Linked DNA regions of Lytechinus pictus. The protein of the gene in region 1 binds, or shares a complex with, the protein of each later gene. Links are inferred from orthologs where the notes say so. Each region holds a gene or a part of one and is shown on either strand. Other genes may lie near its edges.

Region 1 (7,377 bases):
TAAATCAATTCTAATTCCACATGTTCAGGAAGGAATTACTGTTTCACTTGACAATAAGATTAGAATATTTCATATAATGAAATACAAAACAGTGAGTGGATGATGTCATCAGTCTGCTCATTTGCATACAGACCAGGATGTGCATATTTTGTGAAATTTAGCAAAATTTTAAAATGTCATAACTTTCTTATTTAATAAAGTTAGTTTTCTCTTATGTCTTGGTATGAATCAAGTGAACTTAATTAATGCAAGAAGCTATTCTCTCACCATTTCATATGTCTGCATAGCAAGCTGTACTTTGTCGTCGCCATATTCCCTACTTTTTGTGAAAGAGTGATTTATCTTCTTTAATCTCTCAGCTCTCTGTTCTGGCTTCAGATCCCTGACATTCTTCAAGTAGTTCACCGTATCCTCGTCTATACTCTTGGCAAGTTCTGGAGAAAAATTGAGCACATAAAGAGGCATATCACACAAATGGGCTTGTGACATCATCACAAACTCAATGCATGCCATTTTGCAAAGAATACCAACTTAGAAATTCCAGATCTTTGTTGGTTTTTATCTCATCTCAATCAAATTATCAATATCATTGATTATCAGTATTATTATGCACATGGACTTCTATACTTTCCAAATCCAACAATTGCCTATAGATGCTAAACACAAAGATCATTACTTCTTCACGGATGCTTTATGATGAATTTCTCTGCCAGTGATTCCATACATTTCTGAATCTTCATAACCCTGACTCTCTTACATAAAGCTTAGCAATTGAATGTGGGTCTGGCTCTTAAGTTTGATCATATTACACAAATACAACAATCGTAGAAATCATCATGATTAGTCACCCAGTTTTATGATACGGGGGGGGGGGGGGCACATTTGGATGTAATTAAGCTTCCTTCTTTAATACCTTGTGTTCTCTGGTCCAAATCTCTCATCAGTGTGAAGTTCCTTTGAAGCTCAAAAGGAAGATTTTCAATACCTGGAAGAAAAAAAAACAAATAAATTGTGATATATACGGTATTACGGTTTACTGTTAAATTCAAGTCACATGGCACAACTTCAAGAAATACAATAACTTAGAGCCACTTAAAGGGTATTATTGATAGTTGAAATGGATACGAATAAGGTGGAGGCATTTTTGGTTCATGCGACCTGCCTCTTTCTCTATTAGACAATAACTGCCAATCTAGTTTGAAACCACTCCTAAATGTAGTTCCAATCAAGCCACCATAAGCAATTTGGTGTTTGGGATAACACACCAATGCTTTAAATGAAGACAAAACGTGTTGTGAACAGCAAGGGTTAGCTACTTGGTGAGCACTTTTTTTAAATATATTTATTTCTTTGCTTTTGAAAAACAAATTTGGTACACAAGTAAAAATTGTTGGTTTGTACAATTAAAGATGGCTCAGATTAGGCTATATCAAAGTTGTATATTTTTGGTAAACTTTGGCCAGTTTCTTACCACAATGTTCTTACAAAGATGCTTGAAATTTCACTTAATTGCAGCCATGACACATGTTTTCAGGGAATAATTTTCCTGGTATCGCAAAATACCCCAATAGTTTGATCTCTTTTTCAATTCTTGCAATTTTCCCCAGGAACTTGTTATGAAAACCAAGGTTTACTTTGACTAGCACACTCAATTAGGGTATTGAAAAGTGAACAAACTTTCCTAGATTTATTGGGTGGAGAAATCCCCAGAAACGAAGATGACCATAGAATCAAAGATGATCCTCATTTTTCGACTGGCACCCCGTTTTGATAGCATATAAGCTTAGTCTGGATAAGTAAAGTCAGGTTTTGGGGACTGCTTTTTTTTTCTTCTCGCCCTGTTGAAAGTGAAACTAACAAGAATTGCCTTATAAACATGCTTGAAAAAAATTTTGAAATAAAATCTACAAAATTTTAATTTTCTTTGTGTGCCCCTCTTTAAAATTTGCCCTTGCAGACTCTTTATTTTTTCAAATTTAAGTTGACAGATCTGAAAAAAAGGCTAAGGAATGCAGGGCCACATGCCGGGGGGGGGGGGGGGGGGACTGAAGCCCCTCAGCCCCCCCACACTTTTTTTTCCAAAAACGTAAAAATTACCACCCAGTCTAACTCTAAGTTCTAGATTCAATTGTGATTTTTTGCATGGTCAGCCCCGGTGCCCCCCCCCCTTCAAAAATGTTCTGCAGCCCCTGGAATGTGAGAAAATTATAGGGCAACAAACCCTCCCCCGAATAAGAGGACATTTTTAAAAATTAATTTCATTTTTTCATTAATTTTTAAATAAAAAGAAAAATCATGAAAATCAATCAATATTGTCTGAATCTGACGTCTGGATTTGCTTCAGCTTTGCTCTTTGAATTTGAATTATACGTTCATCGTGTTTATGAATTCATTTTTCTTTTAATGCTGCAATGCTAAAGCCTAAGGCTAAGCAGCAATAGTCCAGCAGGCACTCGTAGTCGTATTCACACGGGGCAACTCCCCGATGAACGAGGGCTACAGCTCCGTAACACACAATCATGATTCTGCAAGGCCAAGTCAGCTTCAGCCAGGGGCCCCATCGCTCCACACAGCATCAGTGCATAGGCAATAGCCGCACACACAACTTGAACACACGGCGCCCATATCGCTCCATGACTCATTCATTCAGCACAGTTCGTATACAAACATTGTGCAGTATACACGGGCACCGTACACTCGTCTAAAGGAATGCGAACCACCTTCTTGAATACATAATGAGGCACATTTGAGACCAATAAAATCACACTTCTCTTCAATGGACATACAAACAATTCAACCACGCCATATAAGAAAATTCTAAAGTATCAAACCATTCACACATCAAATTCCGTCAAATCCTACAAAAGGCGAAATTTTCCACTTACTGTCGAGGTACTGTTCGAGATAAAGTGCTGTAGCCATGGTTGTCAAATGAGTTCCCGCGTAATAAAATCATGTCGGAGTCGAGTTTATTTCGATGCCGGTGTCACGTGACTGATTAACATTGTGTTTTCGGATTGGCGGCTTGTTCAAAACGTCACGTGCATAATTGCAATAAATCGAGGTCTCAGGATACTTCCGGGTTGTCGATAGAAATATACACGGGAGGTATATATCTACAGAGCTGTTCGTATTTCCTTTCATTTTGTTTTCAAGTTATTTTTAATAATTGATTAATGTAACAGAGATAATTCACTGACATTCAATGAAGATTTTCAGTTTAGGAACGAGGACGAAAACATAAAGTTGGTAAAAGTTCCAAAGTTAAGATAATTCAATCAGGATGAGGAGCTATATATAAGAGGAGGCGGAAACAGAAGAATAGGAATAAGAATAAAAACAAGAATACGATTATAGTAATATGATTATTATAGCATCTTTTTAAAAAAATACATAGGCTTTACTTCAAGTGATTTTTTAACGCAAGATATTTCTTATACCTTGAATATTATGTATGGTTTCACTTTTCTCTCTGATCTACCAGGTCTGTACACTTTCTTTCTCTCTTCATACTTTCCTTCTCGCGTACTCACAACTTTGTCTCAACTACATTCCTTCTAGCAGCTGTCTCAATGCATATATACCATCTCTATCTTTTCCTCCTTTTTTCTCTCTTCTTTCTTGCTCTCTCTCTCTCTCTATCTCCCTCTGCCAATCATTATTCAACCTCTCATTTATTCTCTTAAGGTGTACTTTGTCCTTATATGAATTATGCATTGAATGTTTTCCCTTTTTATTGTGATTACTACAAATGTAGCTGTAGCTGACTTCATTTCTATTTCTTAAACTCATGAGATTTATATTAAGCCTTTGGGCTGCCCTGTGTAATTTATTTTTATATGTTTAAAATCAATCAATCAAATTACTAAAAGCATAGATTTTGAAAAAAGAAGAGAAACTTTAAGTTTGTTAATTTTGAAACTGGATCTTTTAGAATTTATCTGACAAGCGCAAACGGTGGCTCCAAGTCAAAAAGGGTTATACCATTTTTAATAAAACGTAGGACCAAAAAAGGAAGTGCTATAATATTTACTTAAAATCAGTAGGGTAAAACACACAATGCTATCAATCTGCATATTAATTTATTAAGTCACATCAGGCAACTTAGTACTGTTTAAAAAATACAATTCAAGATAATTCAAATCTAAATTTGAATTTAAAAATAAGAAATTTTCCAATGGAAATTAATGGAAATATGAGCATTTCATTATGATAGATGAGTAATTACAAAGTTATTAAAGGTTTTTATTTCTATGCATGCCATTATGAATATGTAATAAGAAAGCAGATGTCTTTTCTCAATATCTTTTTTTTGGTTTATCATATGAAATTACAATGATTCGCATTTTATGTTTCAATGGTGTAAAAACTTAGACTGCCAACACCATTGCTGTAATCAATTTTGTAACAAGGAAGATCGTTTTATACACATGTATGAAAAAAAAGAGATTAATAAAAAGATCTGAAATAGTGAAATATACCAAAAATAGTCATGCGTTATTATATTTCAGTATATATACATTCACATATGTTGACCAGCAGCACATGCTGAAGGGGTCAATTTTGAAATTTCCACGATAAAGCAAATAAACAACAAATAATTATAGAATTTTATCAAATTTTATGATGATAAAATGATGGTAAATAATGCTTTATCAAAGTTTCTCTTCTGTCTGAACTCATTATGAAAGCAGACTAAAAACAGATAAAATACTAGAAACATAATTCTAGTGGCTTCCCCGTCTCAAACAATAATACTTGATCCACAGATTAATGACTAAACAAAATAGTTGCCAAATATTGTTTGGAAGCATTTGACCAGGAGTAGGCAACAATAAACAATACTTGCATAACAATAAACATACAATTACATTAGATGAAAGAATACTGCGATTACACATGCTTAATAATATCATCATCTTCTATCAAAATGCTACAAAATTCATCCCAACAATATTTGAGGGATTTGAGCCTGGACATCTGTACAAGTAAACTTATTAGTGCTAAGATATTTAACATCATTACTTCTTAATCTTTTTAATTCAGATTTCAATTTACACACCATTAACAATAACATCATTTTAAATGGTGTAAAAATTCTACTTTAGTTTGAAAACAAATAAGTCTAAAGGGTTGAATTCTGAAGGTGGAATTCATTACTTTTATAACATAGTTATAATCATTTCCAACCCATACATCCATTGATCAGAGTAAAGATTGCACAAAGTGGATTTTACTTCAGAAAAAGTATTAAAAAATTGCACTGCAAGGCATGGATTGCGATTTGTAACAGGCTTTGTTTATCTCTAAAAACTCCTACAATGCAATGTGTGACAAGACTGTCAAAAGCTTTAAACCAGTTTCAATCCAAAATCATTCTTCAATACAAGTCCATTAAAGATGAAACTGTGAGTGAGTTGGCAAGTTCTTCGGTAGACATTGACTCCCATGCAAAGAAAGTCACCGATATCGAGGGCGTCATCATTAGGAAGCCATTTTGTGAGAAGCGCCCTCTAAGACCACCGCTGTCCAGCCAAGTGAATGGAGCAATGCTGCTGGTTTTGAGGGTAATGAGGAACTCATCTGTTAAAACTTTGCTGACAGAAGAGATCTACATAGGGACAATTACAAAAAAAGGAGAAGAAAAAGAGTCAAACCATTAGTGAAAAGAACATACTTGGAGGTGAACACATTTCATTTCTCAAGTTGGCAACACCAGAATTCTTCTTTCATCATTGCACTAGAAAGGAAATATATATACCTGAAGTACTTGACATTCTTTCATAAAGGTTATCATGTTTTGAAGTAGGAAACGTGCAGGTTGGCAAGGAGAGACAGTGATTTTGAAATTTTACATCAGGTTGCCAATTAACAGATTTTTAATGATCATTTTCTTTTAAATATCCGTTACCAATGAATGAAATAACGAAATTTGGAGGCAATTCATATGATCATAGTATATATAGAATATGGTTTTCCTTTCTTTCTCTTTTTGTTAGACAACCTGATCGGAGACTAGGATTAGACAATGGAGATGAGACCAAACAAAAAGTAGGAAAAAAATTGGTAATTTACCAAAACAAGACAGATGACTTACTCTTATAACTGGTTTCTTTAGTCCAATCACATCACTGAAGGATGACAGAAAGAGAGGATTGATTGGTGAGAGTTGGGTGGAGTTGTTATGGTATATCACCATGGTTACAAAGCAAGTGGGAAGAGGGTTTGAACCACACGCTGCTTTCTGAAGGAGGTCATCGAGGGGTATTCTGAGGACCATCTTAGATGATAGTGCATTCTGGAAAAGATGAAATGAAATGATAATTAATATTTATGAATGCAATGGATAGAATATTTCAGGAGGTGAAAGATGAAATGATCTATTCAACGAGGTGTAGCCGAGTTGAATGGATCATTCATTTCATCTTTCACCGAATGAAGTTTTCTGTCTATTGCACTCATAAACATTAATTATTTGTTTATATGACACCTAAAAATAGATTCTTTTTCATATAGAATTTATGAATCTCGATGCAAACTATGGTCATGCAATGGGAGCTCAGTCTGTTGATTATCACGTACATACAACATGTGCACTGCAAACAGGAGTGGTTTTACTTGTGGTGCCTGCAGTCTCGGTGGTGCGCGCGTGGAATGGACAAAATTGTATGGATCCAAAATTAAACAGTTGATGATGTCAATGTAAAATGGGTTGAATTATCGATATCAAACAACCAATCATATGACAAGGATCTATCTTGGTGTCATATAATAACAATTAGTTCCTGTAGAGTACTCATCTACTAGTGTATAAAATATTGATATTTTGAACAATATTGATTTGTCCCAACTCATGATAGAGATATGATATACAGTGAATCCCAGAAAAGACAAAAGGAAACCGTAATTCAGAGTAATTTTTTGCTATAATGAAAATTTTACTGAAAATATATTCTTCATATAATCTCAACATTAGTAAAGTAATTTCTCCCCCTCCCCCTCTGTTTGTCGGTTAAATGTGTTTATTTTGTAATATATACAATGTACTTGCTTTGAGTCTGTATACAGGAGTCAGTGTTTTATTAGGCTTCTTTCTCTTTTTTGTTGTCTCCAATTCCCATAAAATCGTTTTATGTAATTGTATTTTCTTGTTTTCTTACCTCTGATTGTCTATGCTAATTCTCCTTTTATTTTTATGATGACTGAAATAAATGATTGAATGTCCAATTTCAAAGGACTTACCTGAGAAAACTGATTGGTAACTTGATACTTTGGTTTCAGATCTGTCCAAGACCAGATGGAGGTGACGAAGCTAGCATCGACAAGGTTGTCTGTTTCTGTGACTGAGTAGCCATACAGCTCTTCATCTTGTATCAT
Region 2 (8,200 bases), on another chromosome or scaffold:
AAACATTTCTATTCATGATGTAGTCATTTTGCCAAGCTTATAAACAGCGACAGGCATTTTGGGGGCAAAAATGTGAAATTGAATATTGTTAATTAGTGTAATTAAAGGACAAGTCCACCCCAACAAAAGTTGATTTGAATAAAAAGAGAAAAATCCAACAAGCATAAAACTGAAAATTTCATCAAAATCGGATGTGAAACAAAAAAGTTATGACATTTTAAAGTTTCGCTTAATTTCACAAAACAGTTATATGCACATCCTGTTTGGTATGCAAATGAGGAGACTGATGACGTCATCCACTCACTATTTCTTTAGTATTTTATTATATGAAATATTCTAATTTCCTCCTCATTGTCAAGTGAAACAACAATAATTCCTCCCTGAACATATGGAATTAGCATTGTTTAATACTGTATGGTTTAGTCAAGTTGGTCCATATTGTCACATTAAAAAAAAAAAAAAATATTGTATAATTCAAACAATAAAAAAAACCAAACAAATAGTGAGTGAGGGACATCATCAACTGTCTCATTTGCATGTCACTGAGTTATGCATGGGTGTTTTTTTTTAATAAGCGAAACTTAAAAATGTCATAGCTTTGTTATTTTACATCCGATTTTGATGAAATTGTCAGTGTTATGCTACAGTACATGTAGTTTGACTTTTCTCTATTTATTCTAATAAAATAAAAACATTTTCCTGTGGTGGACTTGACCTTTAATATGCATACAATAACAGATAATTATTCATTTTTTGTTACAGATTTAATTATTGATGTTACAAGATTAATACTGCTAAATACTAGGGTGATCCAATGTTGCATTAACTTTTGACACCAAACACATTTCAAAATTCATATTTACATTGCATAAACCCTTTCCACAGAGGATTATCTATTGTTACTGGTGGTGCTGTGACAATGCTCAGCACCCCCAGTAACAATAATATAATCCTACGTGGACAGGGCCCTGTTACATTGAGGTCTATGTAATAATTAGTTGTTAATTAGTCATTTTAAGAAAAAAAAAGGTATTTGAGACTTAACACTTTTTCACTAAGAATGGTAATACCTGTAACATCCAAAAAATAATTTTTTGGACCATTTTTACCCTGTTCGCGAAATTGGACCACCTTATGACATGCGACCATATGCAATGCACTATTTTTTAAGTTTGTACTCTACATGTAAATAATTAATTAATATGAAATATCAATTCCTTTTTTTTTTCTTTAATCTGATTTTGTATCATGAAATCACTACCATAAAAAGTACCACATTATAAAATGGAAAAAGTGATCATCATTGGCAGGCCCCTAAAACACAGTATTACACTTTGGGTAGACATGAACTTTAAGAAGTAGGCTACAGGCACTCATCTAATGAACAAGGTTATGATACATGTAGTCACTGGGTGGGGGAAATAACGTTGGCAATGTTTGGCGTAATTTTCTCTTCTTCTTTGGGACAAATGCTTGATTTTATTGTCAGTTTCCTCCATTACAACTAGATCTATTCACCATATAACTTGGCTCTTAGGCAACTTAAATGATTTCAATTATTATTTTTTCTAAATTAAAAATAGATTGTTGAATGACAATTTTCTTGCAATTTTACTTTCCACCAATAGAGGGCCTACACAAAAATATGCCCAAAATTCAAGTTTTTGAGCGCTCTGGTGAATACAAAAATAATCCCGAAGTTACTAATAAAAAATAAATTGCAACTGTATTGAAATCAGTATCATTGGTTTCAAAAGTGATATTTTAATGATTTTTTTTTAATGTGTTTGTAGAGGTCTACTGCATACATGTAGGTCTCTGTATGTAGTTTCCAATTCCCCACAGCTAACACTAGTAACAGCTAAGGCAGAGTGGTTGCAGTGATCAAGGAAGTGGCTACAGGTAGTACAGGTACATGTACAGTAGTTTTGACCACCATAAATAGACTTGGATCTAAGACTGTAGATTCTACCCTTTTCACAAACTTGTATTTTAAAATAATGATTAAAATAAGACTCAATCAAACTCAAGTCAAAGTTAGACAGAAGAATATCAACTTCATTTTCAGTCTTCATTTCATATTTTAAAAAATGCAAAAGTATTGACAGACACACGTCACATTTTACAGTTACACATTCATTCTCTCAACAAGCATAGTTCTTCTTCCTATGGCCTTGGCATATTATCGTACTCGTTGTGCTTGTCAAGTGCCCAGATGAATAGTGCGAGTAAAAATCTCTACAAAATAGTTTCCTTTGCTTTATTTGAAAATACAATTTCATTGGACCTTCCAAAGTTCCAACTTCCAAGACACAAGAAAGATAGCATACTGAACTACAAAATACAAGTACATAACAAAGGAGACATATCCGGCTTGATAGAGATCTTTCTAGCAAGCTAGCCGCGCTCGTTCAAATGTTTTAGTGACTCATGAATATTCATGCTCATGCCCAACGTGACGAACTCGAAAAAAAATTGTGCACGCCCTGTAAAAATGGGCCCACCTCTTTAAAATAGAATTTCATAGCACTTTCATGACTAAAATTTCCCCCAAAGTATTTAAATGACGTATGTTGGGGTAAAAAAAAAAAGCTAAATCCGGACTGAGCAAGGTACAAATCGAAAGCTAACTTATCACATTACCGACCTGTTCTAGCTGCAATCGGCTGCTGAGCTGAGCCAGTTGTACGCACGCTCCATGCTATATGCAGTGTTGTAGGCGGGGAGCGGAGAAGACACGGTTATGTCCCGTTGAACACACAGCTTAGCTCAAATCACTTGTGCTCTCATACATACAGCACATAGCAAGGCTTTTCGAAAATATCTGTCCGAACAAAGACGCACGAACAATGCCTTGCTTAATTTAAACCATGAATTCGTCCAAAGCGCGTCATGAAAATTCACAGTATGATAGTCCAGACTCTGCTTGATATATTCCAGAAGACAATGGTGCAAAAAGTTACGCATTTAACGAGATATTCGAAGCCAAATTTTGACGATTGTACTGTCCTGATACGCACTCGACGGGCTACCCTCCGCTCATTTTCAGACATCTTTTCGAAGGTACGAAAAGCGCCCCCCTAGCTTTTCAAAAATTACGCTATGCTCTAACGCCATCTTTAGTTGGAATTCGAGAAAATGTGGAAATGTTTTTTTTTTTTTCAAAAGATTTTGACCGGAGAGTTGTGAGGATGTTTAGATAGAGGGTGTAAATAGCGATGTTTGTCCTTAATTTGCTCACAATTCATTATCGCTGGTGCCGAAAATTATTCTGCATGTTGTGAACTCTCTAACCCATTCCCCTCGTGCACACTAAATAGACCATTTATTCACCATGACCTAGTGGGAATGAAGTTTTAATGAAAATAAATGATATATTTGTGAGCGAGCAAATAAACCACATTTTGTTATGGCATATAAAAATACTTTTCTGATGAAAATTGTTTTATTAGTAATAATTGATCATTATCAATTAATCAATCTATGAAGAGACGGGGGTGTAGACCTAGTCTATATTTGTCTTATATTCATGATTGTCTTCCAGAAGGCCTAGATATTTTTCGGTCATCTCACTAATTGCATTTGTTTGCTTTCGAAACTATGCTACATTGCTACACATCTATTTTAAGATTGTCTGCAGATTTATGTGAACGAAGGCAACCACAGCGAGAGATAAAAATAGCATTCTATGTATATGCGTATTACAGTATAGGTGAATTTTTGTATAATCAAATACCAGGGGAAAAAAAAAAGGAGAAAGAAAAAAAAAGGGGGGAAAGGGTATATAAAGGGGGTAAAAGAGAGGGGAAAAGAAAATAAGAGGAGGAAGACCAGTGAATGAAATAAGATGAGGGGAAGACTTGGAAAATCTTCATTGTCACTTTAAAAAATTTTCGCTCTCGCTTCGCACTCGCATTGCCTGATCGAAGATACAAATCTTGCTAAATGGGCTGATATAGGGCTTAAAATATAAAGTTTGAAGTCAATATATAAAAACATATTTCAACTCGGACATCAAACTTTCATTATTTTGTTTGATTTACAAATTAATTTGAAAAAAGTGCTTTGTAAAATGTCGGTTTATACGGTCTGAATATTAACATTTTCAGCTCGCGCTGCGCGCTCGCATTATTTGATTTGTCAAGTACATATCCTCTTCGATTCCATAAAGCAATATCCCTTTTCAGGTCTGATTGTCAAAACGTATTAGCTAGCGCTGCGCGCTCTTTTGATTGAGTTATGTATATCTTTATAATTCTATAACAAACTTCTTAAAATCACCTTTTCATGACAGCTAGCTTATCAATAAATAATTTCGGCTCGTGATTTTGCGCTTGCATTAATTGATGGAAATATATTTTTACCCATGCATCCTATTCATAATTACAAAAGTGTTTAAAATGTCCACTTTTCAGGCCTTATTATCAACAAATTTCGCGCTCTCATTATGCTTATTAGATTCATGAATAAGATAATAATATTTTTATTAACTCCTATATAATTAAGTGTCTTTTTCAGAATGGAAAAGTTTCATAATAATGAAAAAATATCAGCTCGCACTTCGCGCTCACATCATTTATTAAGTGCAATCCATATCCACTTCACAATTTTCATACACCGTTCTTGAAATAGTGATTAAATTGACCCTTATTCAAATCGGAATATTAAATGTTTTCAGCTCTTGCTTCGCGCTCGCATTATTGATTTTCATGATAAATAATGTATTTAGAATGCCCATGCAGATTCTAGGTCTATAATGTAGAACACGGGCACGCATGTTTATTGAGATACGCTACTTGTTCTTTATTTAAAACATGGTATCAAGTTTCAGATCAGAATATCAAAAACTTTCTGCTCGCTCTTCGCGCTCGCATTATGTACATGTATGTTGGCCATAGGAAAATACCCAATTGCCCACCAGTTTTCAATATTTACAAAGCATGAATAAAGTGTCCCGTTTTTATGTCTAAATCTCTTTTTTTTCCGCTCGCGCTTCACGCTCGCATCAATCGTGTAGTTAAATATACCTATCCTGTTCATGATTATAAAAAAGTGCTTACAGTTCCAATTGTAGGTCAGAACATAATAAAAAAATCAGCTTACGCTTCGCCCTCGCATTTTTTTATTGTTGAAATATTTCTTGTCTTCATGGCTAACTGCAAACAGTCCTTAACTGGTCCCCTTTCGATCAGGCTGAATGTACAGTATATTAAAACTTTCTGCTCCCGAAGCGCGAGCAGAAAGTTTTCTTCGCGCTAGCAGTATTATATAGTTTACATATACGCAAATGGTCAGGATCACAAACATTACCCAGAATGTTCAATTTTCAGGGGAAAATGCATGAAATTTGCAAAAATCTTAGCTCGCGCTTCGCGCTCGCACTATTTAAATAGGGCTTATGAGATTATTGTTGTTTTTAATTAATAAAGCTGTTGACTGTTAGGACTAACCCTTCAAAATCAATTTGGGCGGCCGATCAGGGAATTGAGTGAAAAAATTCGCCCCCCCCCCCCCCCCCCATTGGCGAAAGCTGGATCCACCCCTGTCTTAATATTCTGTATTAAAACGAATACACGCTGAGATCCAGTGAGCACAGGTATGGAAAGAAAATAAACACCATTGAAAAGGGGTATACTGCAGGCTTTGAATATCGTTCGATTTTTGCCAATAAGTCCACATTAAACTAAATTAAGCGAATGTAACAATACCTCTGTAAAGCCGCAAGTGTAAGTGTTTCAACCAGGAATACGTTTTTATTAATTAAAAAACGTTGCTATTACCCCACACGTCACTGCCTATCGGCCCGAACGATCCCAAATCAACGTGTTCTGCCTGACCACGATAATCAGTGGCATTATGATGGGGGATTGGGGGCGCTTGAAAATGGAAGAGAGAAAGTGAAATATAATATCATTTTCTAAATATGTCTCAAACATACGGTATACGAGCGACTACAGAGAAATAACCCATCCTTCACCCCATGGGCGGAAATCCCAGGGGGGACAGGGGGGACGTGTCCCCCCTACTCAAAATAGTAGGGGGGACACAATATCAAATGTCCCCCCTACTATTTTTGGTCTTTTATGATGGTAAGAAATACATCATTCTAAATCGAAATAAAACATGTATTTGGGGACGAGTATGGGACGAGATGACCTTACTTTTGGGATGATAACCTTTTTTTTTGCTTGTCAAATTTTTCCGCCCCTTAGGCGGACCAGGGGGGGTGAGGGGCCCGCCCCCCCCCCTCTTCTTGGCGGATCAAAAAAAAAGGAAAAGGGAAAGAAGGAAGGAATAAAGGAGGGAAAAGAGAGGAAAAATAGAAGAGAAGGACGACGAGTGCATAAAATAAGATGAGGGGAAGACTTGGAAAATAAAAATAATCTTTCGTGCCACTATATAAAATTTTCGCTCGCGCTTCGCGCTCGCATTGCCTGTTAGTTGATTTACATATCTTGTTCAATATGGAGCTCGAATGTCAAGTTTGGAAGTCAATATACAAAACATATTTCACCTCGGAAATCGAACTTTCATTATTTTGTGTGATTTACAAATTGATTTTTTTAAAGTGCTCTGTAAAATTGTCAGTTTTATCGTCTGAATATTAACAATGCTGCTTGCGCTGCGCGCTCGCAAAATTTGATTTATCAGGTACCTATTATTTTCGTATATTTCATAAAATTTTCAAAATATCCCTTTTCAGGTCTGATTGTTAAGACGTATCAGCTAGCGCGCTGCACTACGCTCGCATTTTGATTGGCGAATTATATATGTTTCAATATTGATTATACAACAAACTACTTAAAATCCCCTTTTCATGACAGTTTATCAAAAATTTTAGCTCGCGATTTGCGTTCGCATTAATGGTTGAAAATATATTAACTGATGCATCTTATTCATAATTACAAAAGTGAAATGTCCAGTTTTTATGCCATAATATCATCAGATTTTGCGCCCTCATTAGGCATTAATAGATATGATATTAATTTAATAATCAAAGTGTCCCTTTTGTTTCATCTCGCTTAGCAAGAGGAATAGGAAGATAATCATCATTTTCATATGATGACATGTCGTATGGATGTCCCGGTCCTATGTCAAAACTCAGAGTAAAAATAATGAAAATATCAACTCTTTTTTAAGTGCGATCCATATCCACCTTATACAATTTTTCTACAAAGTGCTTGAAATATAAAGCTGAAATTGACTCTTGTCAGATCAGAATATCAAAGTTTCCTGATTTTCATGATTAAAGATGTATTTAGAATGCCTATGTTTATTCAGATACTCAACTTGTTCTCTATTTAAATCATTATCCAGTTTCAGATCACAATATCAAAAATTTTCTGCTCGCGCTTTGTGCTCGCATTATTAATGTAGGAAGACCCCATATTACTCATCCTTTTCATGATTTACAAAACATGAACAGAGTGGCCCATTTTTTAGGTCTAAATCTCGATTTATTTTTTCTGCTCGCGCTTCGCGCTCGCATCAATTATTTAATTATATAGCTCTATCCTGTTCACGATTACAAAAACTGATTGAAATTTTCCATTCTTTCTTTCTTCGCGCTCTCATTTTTTGATTGTTGAAATATGTAACGCCTTCATGGCTAAGTGCAAGCAGTCCTTAACAGTTACCTTTTTAACAATTACCAGTTCAAAACGAATTAAAAAATTTTCTGCTCGCGTTTTGAGCTCGCATTATTAATACTCATCCTTTTCATGATTTACAAAACATGAATAGAGTGTCTCGTTCAGTAAATATTATAGGACTAAATCTCGAAATTTTCCGCTCGCGCTTCGCGCTCTCATCAATTGTTTACTTGTATACCTATTCTGCTTGAGTTACAAAAAGTGCTTACAATTTCCATTCTTTAGGTCAAAATGTCAAAAAAAATTTAGCTCGCCGTTCGTGCTCGCATTATTTGATTGTTAAATGCTACTTTAACAGGTATCTTTTCCATCAGTTCATTTCTGCTCGCGCTTTGCGTTCGTAGTAAAGTTGCATACACATCTTTTTCATAACAAACATTGCCCAGAATGTTCAAATTTTAGGAAAAAATACATAAAATTTCCAAAAATTAGCTCGCGCTTCGCGCTCGCATCATATAAATAAGGATTATAATATTATATATCAATTTGTAAGAATAAAGCTAAGAAGTGACTAATGAGGACTACCCCTTCAAAGAAACAAACAAAAA
Region 3 (7,346 bases), on another chromosome or scaffold:
AGTCTTTAGTTTTGAATTATCACAATGGTTATTTCCATGGTACTTACTCCTTTCATTCTGTGAATCTGTGAGACCAAGAGATGCCTGTTGAAAAATAAAGATTAGTGGTAGCTATTATTGGTGAAAGCTCATTAAAAGTGGGTTCATATTAACTATATACCATGAAAACATATGCAAGACATCAATTGAAATTCCACTTCCTATAATCTGATGAATTTTTAGTACAATAAATCAAATTTCACACATCAAAGGTCACAGTATATGCAACACTCCAATGATATCTGTCAAGAACTTTCTGTAAAGAATGCCCACATTGATCACAGGCTTATTTGCCTGAATGGAAATATCATCAGTCCTTTATTTTTGTACGAGACCAATTTACAAGACTCAATATTTGTATATAGCTCATTTCTAAACCAATTTAAACAAATTTGCCATGTACTAATACTTGTTTCTTCTACGAACATTTTTTTTTTTTACTCAGGGCAGTAATCAAATATAGTATGAACATCTGCCTATGACATAAAACTATTATACTAAGAAAACTATTGAAAAAATGACATATTGTGTATTAAGGCAATTAAAGCAATTGCCCTTTACCCTACATCTCAGTCTCATGTTGAAATATAAATCAAACATGAATATATGTCATTTCCATTTTGGTTGACAAAGTATTAAATATGCATATATCATGGAATTTCACCCTTCATTTATGAATTTTTAAAAGATCTATGTAAAAAGTTGAAATCTCTACACCTAGACTACAAAATGGCTAGAAAAGTGATGTCACTGTGATGACTAAAATGTATTTTTTCAAGTTTGACTCAGTATGACATTTTAACACAACACACAGAATTGCCAATTTGAAATTAATGTAGTCTTAGTAATCTCATATTTCAAAGTTTTAAACAGCCATTACTTTCCCATTCCTGGCCCGGTTTCTTTCAATATTTGTTAAAGACTGGTTTCCCCTAGAACACTTACTTGAGATGTAATACTTGATTTAGAAAACAGTCTGTCAGCTTCCTTGAACTTTCTGTTTCGTTTGTCTGTCTTACTATTGGTACTCCTGCAAATAATAAAATGTTACTCGCATATTCTCTTATATTTCATATATTATCTCTTATATTTCAATCATCATTAAACCAACATTAATTGTAAGAATTGAATCTTTTCTTGAATTCAAGACCAAATACTTACTGAATTGGTAACATATTGCTGAGTAAAAACAATACATTCTGAGGCGTACCAGAAACGATATGCGCAGAAACTCAACTGTAAACCTGAATACACTTGCATTTAGAGATTAATGAAAAATTTTAACCAAAAAAAAAAGAGAGATGCTAATGAGCTATTTTGTTCTGTTGTTTTGTTTGTTTGCAACTCTTAGTTACCCGGTGCTGAAAATTGCTGTGGAGTAGCACTTGTGCCCCCTGCTAGAAATTGCAAACAGAACAAAATGGATGCATCCATGCCACAGGGATTATAAGGTTTCGTGCCGATGAATTCAAGCAAGAAAATTGAGAAATCCTGCTCAGTGCTACTATTTTCATAGCGTTACTGGGTTGATTTATTGTTTAGATATATAGTATCATGTGTAATTTTCGATATACGGTATAAATCTAGATGAAGGCCTGAAAATGGTTGCTATTCTCAGTCTTTGGTGACACTAAATTTCTTATATTTTTTATTTTAGCAGTCCATCGGTCTGGAAGAAATTGCCCACTTCGACTCGGCCCTAAAATCACCCATATCTGAAAAACCATTCATCCAAGTGATAACCAAATACATATGTAAACAACAAACAATATTCCTATTTCCTACTTACTTATTTGTTAGATATCTGTCCCATCCTCTTATAATGTTGCCATACAAAGCTGTGTCTTCCAGGTAGCTGCCTTCAAATGCATAGATTTGTCTTTCAAGATTTGCAAGTGTCTCCTGTACATAGGATATTCAAGTTAATTTTTTTTTTTAAAGACAATACCTACCCCTTTCATTGAAGTTAAAGTCAGTAAAGTGAGTGATTGTTTTACGGATTGGCCTTGTAATTACCGAACACATGAATTTACGCATCAGAAAATAATTTCCATATATTCTCAAAACTTTGCAACATCCTTCCAAAGCCAGGGAATTCAACTAGAAAAAATGATGAACAAAATTATAAAAGCCAAAAACACACTTCATTTATTCTCAAAATAACAAAATATGGTTGAACTAGGTGATTTTGTGAAGTTTCAAACTTTTCCCACAGAAAACACAGAGTCGGTAATACCATTTTCAAGTGACAAACATATTTCACATGCGAAGAGGGCCGAGGGGTGCGATCAAAAGCCGATATCATAAAAAAAGAAAGCTGATCTTGGCAAAATGTGTACATCGTTATTCTTTGTAAATACACTATTTGTGATTCACCAGGCCTGGTATTCATCCTGTAGGCTGTAGTGTAGTGGACGTTTGTCATTTAAGAAACATTGTCATTGATTGACTGTGTTTGATTATCTCTCATCTGATCATAATGATATGATTAAATCAATAAATTTATTCAAAAAAACACCAATGTATTCAACATTTGACAATTGTACTGCGTAAATATATTATTTGATTCAATGATGTAGATCTATACGGGGACGGGAATTAGCTTTGTGCATTTTAAGTAAAAATATCACATTATTGTGAAAATCCCATTAGATATGTTCGCGTAAACTTCGCATGTGCCGGTATACCGTCGGTCAAGCAGCGCAGGGCCAGATGTTCGCACTTTTCCGTACGGCAATCTGTCGAAACTCATTAATCTGACATCTAATTACCGTATTTTACTTAACGGTATAGGATGTCATGATACTTACAGCTATTTCTGATCTTCTCTTCACCAATTCCGCTAATTCTGTTCTCGTATCTGACGCCTGCTGCGCACTTTTGGACGACATTTTTCTCTCGACCTTAAAAATTCCGCATCTGGGCAAAGTCCGATCATCATCAATCAATCAATTTATACGCGAATATAATAATAACGAACGTAGAGGGAAGCAACACAATGATGGAAAAACGAGCTACTCTGATGATCTGATAGAGAAAAATGAGCTTTTTTAGAAGACGGGTTTAAAAAGGGTATAATGCGCAGGTTTCAAATGGGACAAGACAAGAAGAAGCATATCAAACTCTAATAAATGAAGAATCGAGTGCTTATTGATAGTAGATAATTAGTCAAATCACTCTCAAATAATATTATCAATAACTTTTGCCTCGGTCAGGAATGATAAAGAGACCTAGCAATTTTTTCAAAAAGTGAAAGAGACTTTATTTGTTGTGAGGTATAGATTATCAGACAAGACACATAGCAAAGATTAGCGATCAATCGCTAAATGGACTGACCAATCAAGATCAATGTTACACACGCATTTGGTTCCGATACTGACCAGGATATAAAAGTATTCTTTCATCATATGAAAGAATTCTTTCATATTTGCCATTCATCGCTAAGCTTTGTGTTACGGAGCCTTGCAATCAGTTCAAGGTTATAGGCCTACCACACAGAAAAATTCTGCTAAAAAAGGGGTTTTCATACTAAAGACTTAACACACGAAATGGTTCTGGAAAAAAAATCAAAGTATTCTTTTATTTTTATTTTTTGGGGGGTCCTTAATTGTACAGTTGGTTTCTAGTATAAATAATAGGCCTATATAGGATATATGTTAAAATATAACCTTGTTTCATATAAGGTAGATTATTGTTCTTCAGGTTTTTGCAAATTATTTGATCGATGGATATATCCTTACCGCCATGTTCCAGTACTTGTGGTTTATACATTTTGTTGTTACAATATATTACTGTTTACTATCAATAGGACCCCATTGGAAATAAGGCGGCTTTCGTGTCACGGGATTCTTATAATTCATTGTATCTCATATTACCTGTGATATTCTTGACAAATAAAATCAATCAGTCAATCAATCAATCAATCAATCAATCAATCCATACATACATAATTGCTATGAAGATGAAGATTGGTAACCTTGTCAACACTAGGCAGATGCCGTTGGCTCCCGGACTGTACGGTCTACATCAGAGGCGGATCTAGGATTTTCCAAGGGCGGGGGCACATCTTCCGGAGAAAAATTTGCCAAGCAAAAAAAAAAGGTATTCACCCCAAATTTAAGTTCTTTAAACAAAAAGGGGGGACCGGCCGGATATGCCCCCCCCCCCTGGATCCACCAGTGGTCTACATGATTTTGATTGATTTTAATTTCCATTTGGTCTGCTTTCCTCTCGCCCATGTTCCATTATCGTTATACGTTTGACGCATCCTTGAAGATTTTTAACCTTGATTATTGATATATTGATTTTTTGATTATGAAAGCAACGGGAGGGCCCTGATGGGAGGGGCCCTTACCACCCCCTCCATCCCGGCCTTGATTGATATAGATCAAGAGGACCACGGTGCAATTAAGCATAGTTTCACTGCAAAAAATATTGGGTAATTTTTTTACCACCATGGACCGGGTAATTATGTGTCCAACCAATTTGGGGCAGTTACCCAATGCGGAAAGCATATTATGTAAAGTTAAAAAATGAGCAGCAATTACTTTAGAATTGGCAAAATTTTCATCACACTTGATAAATGCCCAAAAGAAATGCCCAATGTTGGTTGGGCACATAAAACCTCACTATGAAGCACTTTTACGCAATATTTTTTTAGAGCGTTGGATTGCAGGGGTATAGAATTTTAAAGAGTGGGTTCTAGTAAAGTGTTAACAAGCACGCCCCCCCCCCCCCAGGTGACTTTGGTCTGCTAGGTGACAAGCAAAAAAAGAGAAAGATAGAAAAGAGAGAAAGAAGGAAGGGAAGGAAGGAAGGAAGGAAGAAAGAAATGGCGGGGGGTGTACTCGGGGGTAGGCCTATATACTCTGTTACGATACTATAAATAACAAGGAAAATTTATTACAGGAAAAAGATACACTAAACAAAACAAACTGATCTTACATCTCTTGAAGTGTCAGTTCTGATTATAATCCAGAGTTATGATAGTCCCGTATTGAATCCAGATAAAATCCAAGTTGGTTGGTCAAGATTCCTTAAATGAAAGTTCACAATGATGGCGATGATGAAATTGATGTTGAAACACGATGAATAACAAGATTCACAAACTGCAACGAGTTGCAATGTCCGTGAAGATGAAGTTGATGATGACAAACAGTCGATTTCATCAATCCATGGGTTGAAAAGCATTCATTAAATCAGGTTGATGATCTCGATGAGAACTGAGAATTCCCCTCTCAAAGTAACTGCAAACAGTTCATTGATATGGCTAAATGTGGTATTCCAGTTGGAAATAAACTATGCTCTGACATAATTAAGGCTGGTGTGAAACTCTGAGTTCTGATCTGATGTGATGATGTCCTTAAAGAAACTGCCAGCCTTTATAAACATTCACTATTCTGGAAGCTTCTCGTATTGTCTTTAAAAAGAACATTATCCTTCTTTCTAGAATAGTCCAAACACTTCTAGAAGACTCTTGAATGACCTCAGTGAAATTAACAATGTAAACAACATAGCTAATCCTATTGTCCTTTTCACTGCCACTATAGAAGTCTTGTCTATCTTAATATATTCCAGAAATAACAAGATTACTCTATCTCATTAAATAGCATGCCTAACAAAGCTTTACTGGGACATTCTGGAATATTCTTAATCATGAATAATTTTGATGTTATTAATAATTTTAATGTTATCGTGACGTTTTTTTTTCTTGTTGGTTTTATGTATTTGTGATACTTTATGTATTTTTTTGTTTGATTCATTTTACCTTTTGTTCTTTTATTTGTCCTTGTATGCTACCTGCTTTATGCCATTTTATATCAATAATTTTCAAAGTGTTTTTAATTGTCAATTTTATAACTTATTTATACATTTTACTTAGTTTAATTTTAGTCACACGTTTTTAAAGAAATTTCCTTTATTTCTATGATTTTGTTCGTCTTTTAAACTGTCTTGATTTTAATCTAGGTTTTTAATTTTTGTTTTGATTCATTTAATGTGATATCATTGATATGTCATGTAATTTTGATAGTGTATTGTATTTTACTTTATATTAATTGTATTTCATTTATTTTGTAAATCTTTCTATGTCTACAGGGCTCTTTTGTAAAGCAGGCCTTTGGGCTCTGAAAGGACTATCCTGTTTTTAAATAAAACTGAATAAATAAATAAATAAATTATTATGCTATGAATATCCTTGAAGAGAAAATAACTAAATAAATGAATGTAATTGCTCTTACAATTCTACTTATATATAACAACTCCCAAACGAAGGCGAATAGTTTGGTCAAATCTATGCATTTTAGACCTTTAATATACATGTACCAACCTTGGCTAATAGACCAGTTCGTAGTTACTCATGGGCAATTTTCGGTCAAATGACCTTTCATTTCTTTCATTATGATAGGCAGATTTCAAAGCAAAATATTACGTAAGCTTGCCTTACATAGCAGGATGAAGAAATTGAATGACTAGAATAGCACACCAATGAACACTTTATGAAGGTATTTGTTGCATTCCTACTTTGAATGCATAGCATGTTGCACAATGTACTTGGCAAACTGTGAAAACCAGTCGTTCGTGGACGCGTTGTTGTTTTTTGTGGATGTAAATGAAAACCATGCACAATTCAAAAGAATACATGAATAATAAAGACATCAAAGTTGGTGCTTATCTCATTAGATTTTAAACCACCATGTCACTTTAGTACAAATGACCTTCCTCTGATCGATCATGCGTAGAATCTTTTGATCATGCGCAGAAAGGAACTACGAACTGGCTTATTAAAGGACAAATCCACTCCAGAAAAATTTTGATTTGAATAAGTAGAGAAAAATCCAATTAGCATAACACTGAAAATTTCATCAAAATCGGATGTAAAATAAGAAAGTTATGGTATTTTAAAGTTTCACTTTTTTTCACAAAACAGTGATATGCACAACTCAGTGACATGCAAAATTAATGACAGAGTCGATGATGTCCATCACTCACTATTTCTTTTGTTTTTTATTGTTTGAATTATACAATATTTCATTTTTTACATATTTGACAATGAGGACAAAGTTGACTTAACCATATTGTATTAAACAATGCTAATTCCACATATTCAGGGAGGAATTAATCATTTTTTCACTTGACAATGTGGAGAAAATCATAATATTTCATAGATCATAATAAAATACAAAAGAAATAGTGAGTGGATGATGTCATCAGTCTCCCCATTTGCATACTGACCAGGATATAACTGTTTTGTGAAATTAAGCGAAACTTTAATATGTCATAACTTTCTTATTTTACATCCAATTTTG

The links. The genes of interacting proteins can lie anywhere in the genome.
Region 2: inhibitor of growth protein 4-like (region 1) and peregrin-like share a complex: the UniProt entries of both Drosophila melanogaster proteins name them as parts of the enok complex. The link is inferred for Lytechinus pictus from reciprocal best matches to the Drosophila melanogaster genes Ing5 and Br140.
Region 3: inhibitor of growth protein 4-like (region 1) and chromatin modification-related protein MEAF6-like share a complex: the UniProt entries of both Drosophila melanogaster proteins name them as parts of the enok complex. The link is inferred for Lytechinus pictus from reciprocal best matches to the Drosophila melanogaster genes Ing5 and Eaf6.

The regions. Positions count from the first base shown.
Region 1 is NC_087258.1:4,765,670-4,773,046, forward strand, and holds the start of inhibitor of growth protein 4-like, read right to left. Parts: upstream 3,006-7,377; 5' UTR 2,923-3,005; coding exon 2,886-2,922; intron 986-2,885; coding exon 914-985; intron 435-913; coding exon 268-434; intron 1-267. Other genes in the region: beta-mannosidase-like, read right to left, coding at 5,381-5,611, 6,098-6,298, 7,243-7,377. UniProt on the Drosophila melanogaster protein: Component of the Enok complex which has a histone H3 acetyltransferase activity.
Region 2 is NC_087247.1:47,609,663-47,617,862, reverse strand, and holds the start of peregrin-like, read right to left. Parts: upstream 3,082-8,200; 5' UTR 2,648-3,081; intron 1-2,647. UniProt on the Drosophila melanogaster protein: Scaffold subunit of the histone acetyltransferase (HAT) Enok complex which has histone H3 acetyltransferase activity.
Region 3 is NC_087246.1:18,104,715-18,112,060, forward strand, and holds the start of chromatin modification-related protein MEAF6-like, read right to left. Parts: upstream 3,082-7,346; 5' UTR 2,931-3,081; coding exon 2,850-2,930; intron 1,942-2,849; coding exon 1,829-1,941; intron 1,070-1,828; coding exon 985-1,069; intron 85-984; coding exon 48-84; intron 1-47. UniProt on the Drosophila melanogaster protein: Component of the Enok complex which has a histone H3 acetyltransferase activity. Might be involved in transcriptional activation of selected genes.